2 linked regions of the Cricetulus griseus genome follow. The main gene of each other region encodes a partner of the protein of the gene in region 2 in a complex. Links are inferred from orthologs where the notes say so. Each region holds a gene or a part of one and is shown on either strand. Other genes may lie near its edges.

Region 1 (4,607 bases), on a different chromosome or scaffold from region 2:
AAGAGGGTTGGAAGTTGATGTATGATCGATAGCCCTGGCTGTTGTTCAGTTTGGGGAAGGAAATAGTACTTAGCAGGTTTGGGAAGGGAAAGTCCCCTCATTTCCCCCAATCTCTAAGGCTAAGAGCACTCACCGTAAAAGAGTCTCTGGGGTTCCTCTGTGACCCCACAAGGCAGCATAACACCCTGGCTTGGGGAGGCTGGGCTGAGGGTCTGGGTGGCCTTGTCTTCCTGGCTTATGGGCCGGAGCCCAGGACCACAGCAGTGAGTGAGAGGAAAGAGCTGAAGCCGACTGAGGGGACAATCCAGCTGGCTCTGGGCAAACAGGTCAGCAGAGAGCAAGCTCCCAGGTTGTGTCCCTGGCTCCCCATCCTCTGGCTGGAACACATCATCTTCCAGCTCCTCCACACACTGAGGTGGCTCCATCTCTCCTGTCAGAAAACAATGGAGGCATCTGGGATGCTTGTCCTACTGAGGCCAGACGAAGAATTCCCTCCCTCCTTCCTTTCCCATTCTTCTTATTTGTGGGAACCAAGCCAGCTTCTGATGATACACAACTCTGGTAATTAAACACTGCCAAGGATGACATTCACCCATAAAGTATGGACCACCCCAATGGTCAGGTTCCTCCATACCTCCTCCCTGCACCCACCAGAGCCACCTTTCCCCATACTCTCTAGCCTAGGCTGGTCACAAAGCTTGGGCACTGAGGTATGTAAGCAAGGGTTAAGATCAGGTGCTATCACAGGGTACCTGGGAAAAGATAAGCAAGACTAACCACACACACACACACACACACACACACACACTGAGGAGGGACCTCCAAGCTTTCCCCTAAGTCTGAGCTGAACTCCAGGCTCAGCAGCAAAAACAAAAGCCAGAAATTGTAGAGCAGCCAGGTTCCCTCCTAACCTGCTAAGCCCTGCCCTACTGCACATCTCCACCCCCCTCCTTGCACAACACAACAAACAGGCTCTGTGGTGTGGTGAGTGTCCTGGAACAGGGGACCTAAGTTAGTCACTCCAGCTGCCTGGCTCAGCTCTCTTCCACTGGAACAGAGCTGTCTGCCCAGCACAGGTTAATTTTGAAGGCTGAATCAGCCTCTAGCAAAGTGTCCTGCTAATTCTACCCACTAATCTCCATGACTTCAAATTTTCATCCACGAAGCCTCCCACTCTTGCCAGAGCTGAACCTGAGATAGGTGCAACGTGCCTCATAGAAGGAAGTGAAATTCAGCCCTCTTGCTGTGCTCTCTCTCACTGCCTACACCGCGGGGGCTGTTTCTTAGTGTTAAGTTCCTCTCGCTCCACCTGACGGCTCATGAAATTCTGCACTTGGAGTCACCCAGCAGCTTGAGCTTCCAAGCATGCCCCGGGGGCAACCAGAATCATAGGCAAGCGCCTGAATGGTCAAGGCAATGCAAAAACAAATTTGGTAATCTTCAGACTCTTCTGACCCACTAGGGTCTTGCCTTTGAAAGACAAGCCAAGTGGTTTGTGGGTTCTTAAAGAAGCCTTTTAAAAGAAAAGCTTTGTCTTTAAAGAAATCTTAGTTAAGTTCGGAGACCTTCCCTCCCCAAATGTGAGCTCTGAGTTTCTTGCCTCATCCGGCACTCCACCTCATCACATCCCTGAGCTATCTGTGGCCTCGTCTCTGCTTTCTTCCCTGGAGATTGATGCCATACATGCCTGCTAGGATGGCAAAGCACATATCTTTGGATATTGTTCCAATTGGTAAGGGGGAACTCCAGCTTATCAGCAACAGAAAAATCAAGTTCCCAGATAAAAGGACCAAGAGCTGTCACCAAGCAGTTCTCCTGTCCTTCATCCCCTTCTCTGCAGGCTGGTAATCCCAACCAAAGTAGGGACCTCCAGAGCCAATCACAAGTAGGAGTCATTGTCTTGGTGTTTCTTTTGATGCCTATCACTCCCCTCCCCCTCCCAGCAAAGCCCCAAAGTTCAACCCTTGCCTAGACTGGACAGTGGGGGAGGTGCAGCCAGAGGGTGTGACTCTGAAAACGCCGAGACCCCCTCCCACTCTGCACACGAACTGCAGGTGGCTCTCCGGTTGGTGTGAGCCTCCGCCTCCAAGAGGTTCTGGGCAAAGACAAACGTAAAATGGGGAAAAGTAGAGACCTTCAGCTTCCCTGAGCTAAAGTGGTAATGTCCAGACTGGTAAGAAGAGGGCACTTCCTGAGAGCACAGCAGAGAACGCTTTATTCCTAGCAAAGGGATTAAAGTCCGCTGGAGCCATCCCAGAGCCTCAGAGCTCCAACTGGGATGCTCAATTAAAACTCCTCCTCTTCTTGGGAGATGGCACTAGCTAGACACCTTGAAGATCGATAGTGGCTAAGATCTCAAAACACACGCGCGCACACACGAGCGCAGACACACCTGGGTGACTCCAGGACAGAGTCTCAGCCTCCGAGTCGTGATGCCAGGGCTCTGCGCCAGGGTCCAGGGTGATGAGCACTCGGGGGGCTTGGCGCCCACACTCGATTGGGAAGGAGGGGGCAAACTCCAGCTGTTAAGAAGAGGACCCTTCAGAGTTCGCAGGGAGGCAAAATGCACCACAACTCACGGCCCCACCCCAGAGTCAGACCCGGAGGCCAGAACGTTCCGAGCGCTTGGCAGTGCACCCCAGGGTCACTTGCCCACCTACTCTCAACTCCAAGTTCCAAATGTTTCCCTAAAGCCCCGCTTGGAACAGCACGCCCAAATTTGTGCTTTGCACCCCGCTCCCACATCCCGGCACCCCAATTCTTCATGGTCACCCCAGATGTCCGCAATCCAAACCCTTCCCGGGCCCCCACGCGCCGCGCGACTCCGCTCCCCACTTCCCGGAGGAGGCACGATCCAACTCCGCCTGGCCCCCGGCCGCCCGGGCGCTCACCGGGCTGCGGCAGGAGGCGGTGGCGCGAGCTGGGGCAGTGGCTGCTGCGGGCGCGAGCTGGCGCGGGAGGAGGCCACGGCGCACCTCGCGGTATTGTTTCCAAAATACGCCCGCTCCGGGCATCCCGCAAACAGCTGATGAGGCCCCGCCCCTCTCGCGTCACTCCAACCATTGACCAATGACAAGTGGAGCTCCAAGTCTCAGGCTGGGTAGCTGCCAGGGACGGTCACTAATGTACAAACCTTCCCTTGGAAACACTATAAGGGGCCGAGCGCATTTCTGACCTTCGCCAGAAGCGTAATTGGAGCGCTGTGTCGGGTGAGGATTCGGTTCCTAAGGCAGGCCCCAGAAGCGCCAGGGAGTCCCTGGGTTCTCCACTAGGTGGGAGGACAGGGCTCCGAAGTGACTTTTGTCTACTTGGAAATGGACTGAATTATTGCGGAGTTTCCAGAAAGCCGGCTCAGAAGGAGGCTGGGAGCTTTCAGCGGCTTGCAACTTGTAGAGGGAAAAAGCTGTTGTCGGTCCCTAGTGAAGGGGGGAGGGCGCCGCCCTCTCGCCTGCTTGGGTGGGTCCGAGGAAAGCTGGAGGAAAACACGTGCATCTGTAACCAAATGACATTTGGATCCAGCAAGTGCAATGAGAGGCCCAGGTCCTCTCTTCTGGACTGGGCAAGAACATGTGCGAAAAAAAGATTCTGGCAGAGGCGAGATCAAGAGGGGCAGCTTGGGCAGCCGACACAACCTGTTGATGGTCGCATCAGAAGACTTCATTGGCCGCTGGGAAAGCAACAAGCATCTCACGTACTATGGTCGACCCAAGGATGACTGCACATTTCTTGAACACCTACTGTGTGCCAGGCACAGGACTAAGTGCCAGACTTCTGGTGCCTGACCTCAGTGAACTTCTACCCCGTTATTTTCGAATAACGGAAAGCAACATGAATGGTGTTCCGTGTAGGGATAATTATGGGTGCAGGAAAATTCAGAATGCAGAGATTTTGAGTCGAGCTTAGAAAAATGAGGAATTTTTCATTAAGTAAAATCCAAATAAAACAGCCCAAGCCCAGAGAAGGCAGGAAGCTAGAATAAAGTACTCTGCTGGAAAGCTTGTCCAAGGAAGCAGGGGCACACCTCTCCAGCAAGCTATCTGGCATCCTCACCATGACTTAGATGTGTAAGTGTGGGCAGGCGGGTTCGGGTCAGACTGCAGAGGTGCGACTGGAAAACCAGGCTGAGGAATCTGTATTTTATAGAGGGCTGGCAGCAAAGGTTTTACAGAAGATGAATTGGGGGGGGGGTGAGGGGAAGACAGGGGAGCACGGAGGAAGGAGGGAGCAGAAGTCAGTGAAAAGAACCAATTCCTGCCACAGCCTACTAGAGCTGTGATAGAGGCAGGCTTGTTTTTTGAGGTAGTGCCTTGTGTGTAGCAGGCTGACTTCACACTCTGTATATAGCCAAAGGTGACCTCCTGATCTTCCTGCCTCGGTCTTCCAAAAGCTGGGATTGCAGGCATGCACCACCATGCCAGGCTTCTTATGCTTTTACTATCTATTATTTCCTTTGTTTCCTCAAAATTCATCTGAAAGAAGTGAAGAATGAAGCAGGCATACAGAGGGCTGTGGTCCATGATTGCTCATGTAAGAAAGTCCTAATCCCAGGCCACAGAGAAGAGGGGAAAGACAGATAAGAGAGTCAAGGTTGACCAGTAGCCCAATCC
Region 2 (3,811 bases):
GTGCATCCTTTTAATCCCAGCACTCAGGAGGCAGAGGCAGGTGGATCTCTTTGAGTTCAAGGCCAGCCTGGTCTACAGAGCAAGTGCCAGGACAGGCTTCAAAGCCACAGAGAAACCCTGCCTCTAAAAACCAAAAAAAAATTCAAATCCAAACCCAAATAAAGTATCATTTATTCGATGTACAAATAAAGATGTCACATACACAAAATCATTCTCTTTTTAAAAAGAGTTTAGATTTAATTCGTATTTCAATCACCAAATTCCAAGTCTACATGCTAATCACCTTAGTTTTAGTTCCTAACATCCAGAACATTAATGTTATTTTCCTAATTAACTGATAAAGCATGGGAAAAAGAACACAGATGACTTAGGAAACTGTAAAGCTATCAGTTGTTCAACAAATATTGTCTTATACCGACTTCAAGGTACAGTTCTAGGCAAATTGACTAGCCACAGCCAGAAAGCTATAGATCTAACACCTTCCACTTGCTAGCTTTTAAGGGTAAAGAGCATAACAACTCAATATAGGCATGCTAAGATTTCAAAGTACTTCAGGATCAAAGAAAAATGTTTGTATAAAGGAAAAGCAGTAGGATAATGAAGCTCATTACAGTTTTCCATTACTTTTATAATTTTAATTTTAGCTTGAGTATTAAAAAAGGATATGCATATATAAGTATGTGTGTGCATAAATTATGTTCAAAAGACTTACCCCTTGTGCATGAAGATACTCAACAGTTTTAGTTATAGTAAACAGGACAGCACTGGCCTCTCGCTCTGAGAAAAACTTCTGTCTAAGAATTTTATCCAGCAATTCGCCTCCTTTCATAAGTTCTGTTACTACATACACATATTTTCCATCATCATACACCTATACAATTTAAATAAAAACATAAAAAATGATTTGAAGCTTTATGTATGTCTCTAAATTACTACTTAAACATACTAAAGATTAAGTGAATATATTAAAAGATACAAAAATTGCATGTTCAAGAAAAATTTACTTGTGAAAAACCAATACAGGATTTCTGGAGATTGTGTTAGAGTCATTTATAGTGAGTAGTTTCACATTTAATGAGACTTAGACAACATCATTTATCTAAGAGAAATCATTCTGAGAAAATAAGAGTTTTGACAATATCTAGACAGCCTCTGAGCCTATGTGAGCACCAACAATCGAGAAACCTGACTACTTGAGACAGGGATATTTTTGTCAAAATTCAGTTATAATAAAAACCACAGGAGATAGAGGTACCAGGGCATCCCAGGTAAAAGATACCTCACTTATCCTGGGAGTGGTAATGGACAGGAAAGGCTTCCTGGAAGGAAGCAGCCTGTAGCAGAGTCTTAGTTGTTGCAGTCAACCAGGTAAAAAAGGGAAATGATATTCCCACCGAAAGGTCGACACATTCAAAGAGCACTTGGAGAAAATGAAATACGCATGTTTTAAAAAGTCTACATCCCAAATAAAGCATGGCCAGAACACAGGATGTAGGGGAAGCTGTAGCCATGCCTACTTAGGGGCTGGCTACAGGTGTGCCTGACCATGCTTGTGAGGGCGTGGTCAGGGTGATGTAGAGTGAGACTTTCAGGGGACTGCATTTCTCTTTCAGCTTCACTTTTGTACTTGCTGGACAGACCGCTGCCATGCCGGCTGGCTAGGTCGCTCTGTAAGTAAGGCTTTTCCCTATTAAATACCCTTATATTTCCACTTGGTTCTGTATTGGTAATTTCCCACTATAACAGGATGTGTAAAAAACTATGAAAACTGCTACAGAGGAAGGCAGGTGGGAGGATAGCATAGGGAGCCTTCAGAGACACTCACAAATCTTGAATATTAATATTTATATGTTCAAATTCACATACTATAAGTAATAATGTTAAAATAGTTTTTAAAGAAAAAGCAGAAAATTAGATATTCTTAAAGTTTTATTAATTTTTAAGATTTATTTATATTTTTAATTGCATGTGTATGCATCTGTGTGCACATGTGTGTGTGTGCACATATGAATGTGAGTGTTAGTGCCTATGGAGGCTAGAATCATCATATCCCATGGAGCTGGAATCACGTACGGGTGGTTGGTTGTAAGCCACCTGATGGGTGCTGGGAATCAGACTTAGGTCCTGTGGGAAAGCAACAAGTACTCTTAACCACTGAGCTGTCCCTCTAATATTTTTCTCCAATCTATTTTTTTATATTTACTTTAAGTTAATATATAAAGTAATGGGTTACATTATGAGATTTTCATAAATGCTGTTTTTTTTTAAACTCAATCCTCCTCCTCCAGTATATTCCCTTCTCTGTCCTGCTGGCCCTTTCCTTCCTACTACAAGTCATATCCCCATCCTAAACAACATTCATCAACTCCCAAGGTCATCTTTCTGATTTCATGACCTATAATCCCCACTTTTGTATACCCCCCCCACACACACTAAAAAAAATCTAGGATCTTCATATGAGAAGGACTATGCAGTATTCATCATTCATAGCTCAAGATAATAATTTCTACTTTCATCCATTCGAATTTACTTTCTAAATTGACTATTCTGAAGTGGTCTTTCTCTACCACATAATATTTGAAAAATATCCTAAATATGAGTTTGACAACTGCTTCAAGTGATCTTTGTTAAAGAATCTACTTACATCCTTTAGAGTAATGATGTTTGGATGCTGTCCATAACGAAGAAGAATTTCAATCTCTTCTGTTGGGTCTCTCTTGCTTTTATCAATAATCTAAAATGCAGATATTTATCATAAATATTTTTGAACATGAACCATAAATGTTTAGTTATAGACCTTAGGTATCATCACATGTAAACACTGTACACACAAGCCATTTACCAATCAGTTGTTGTTAAGTACTTACCCAGATTATTTCATTGGAAAGGTAGTCTCCACATAGATGGCTATATAAGGCTAAGCATGTGACACATTCCTACTAGGTCACTTCAAGGTAAGTTTGTAGTAAATTTGGGAATTATTAAAATTCAAAAGCCTCAAGAAAAGTCATCAAGAACAAAGTTACCACATCATTTTTTTCATCCTTGAATTTCTCAAACATTTGAGAATTCAACTTCTAATCACCTATCAATACAGAAAACTAAGAGATAGATGTGTCTCCAATACCACCATTAGCATCTGCTTATTGCACAGAATTTCTTTCTTTTTTCAAGAAATGGTTTCTCTGTGTAGCCCTGGCTGTCCTGAAACTATCTCTGTAGACCAGGTTGGCCTCAAACTCAAGAGAACCACCTGCCTCTGTCTCCTAAGTGCTAGGATTAAAGGCGTGTGCTACCACCATCCAGCTAACTTTACTTCTTTTAATTATCTTAATGGACTATCACATTAGCTGTAAGCTACTTACAAAAATTAAGTAAACAAGCTTATTTCTGAATCTAAGCAGAAAATCTCCGTATAAAACCACCCTAGAATATTAGTTGACTACATTTACTATATAAAGCTCTTTAAAATGTTACCATAGATTTTAACTCTTTTATGTCAGTTGCTTATATTTTTTCTTAATTTTTTAGTATATTGAAGTACTATACAAACATATTTTTAAAATTTAATGTGTATAGGTGTTGTGCCTACATGTGTATATCTATCTGTGTACCACATACATGTCTGGTGACCACTGAGGCCAGAAAGGGTGTTGGAGTCTCCAGAATTGGAGTTACAGATGATTGTGAACTCCCACATGGGTTCCAGGACTCAAACTGGGTCTGCTGGAAGAGTATTAAGTGCTGCCTTTTAAAAAATAATTTTATTTTATATGTGTGTACATGCATGTGCAGGAGCCCTCAGAGATCA

What was found.
Region 1: the proteins of Rps6ka3 (region 2) and Bmf are in contact, whole or in part, in a crystal structure (PDB 8R58), measured with the Homo sapiens proteins. The link is inferred for Cricetulus griseus from reciprocal best matches to the Homo sapiens genes RPS6KA3 and BMF. Residues at the interface, in NP_004577.1 of Homo sapiens: Trp252, Phe259, Phe268, Leu281, Ala283, Lys284, Leu285, Gly286, Met287, Pro288, Leu299, Arg300, Phe303, Lys304, Arg305, Asn306, Asn309; in NP_001003940.1 of Homo sapiens: Glu8, Leu10, Glu11, Asp12, Asp13, Val14, Phe15, Gln16, Pro17.

The regions. Positions count from the first base shown.
Region 1 is NC_048599.1:59,933,219-59,937,825, reverse strand, and holds the start of Bmf (bcl-2-modifying factor), read right to left. Parts: upstream 3,015-4,607; coding exon 2,892-3,014; intron 2,523-2,891; coding exon 2,393-2,522; intron 431-2,392; coding exon 134-430; intron 1-133. UniProt on the Homo sapiens protein: May play a role in apoptosis. Isoform 1 seems to be the main initiator.
Region 2 is NC_048604.1:94,271,902-94,275,712, reverse strand, and holds part of Rps6ka3 (ribosomal protein S6 kinase alpha-3), read right to left. Parts: intron 2,735-3,811; coding exon 2,645-2,734; intron 872-2,644; coding exon 713-871; intron 1-712. UniProt on the Homo sapiens protein: Serine/threonine-protein kinase that acts downstream of ERK (MAPK1/ERK2 and MAPK3/ERK1) signaling and mediates mitogenic and stress-induced activation of the transcription factors CREB1, ETV1/ER81 and NR4A1/NUR77, regulates translation through RPS6 and EIF4B phosphorylation, and mediates cellular proliferation, survival, and differentiation by modulating mTOR signaling and repressing pro-apoptotic function of BAD and DAPK1.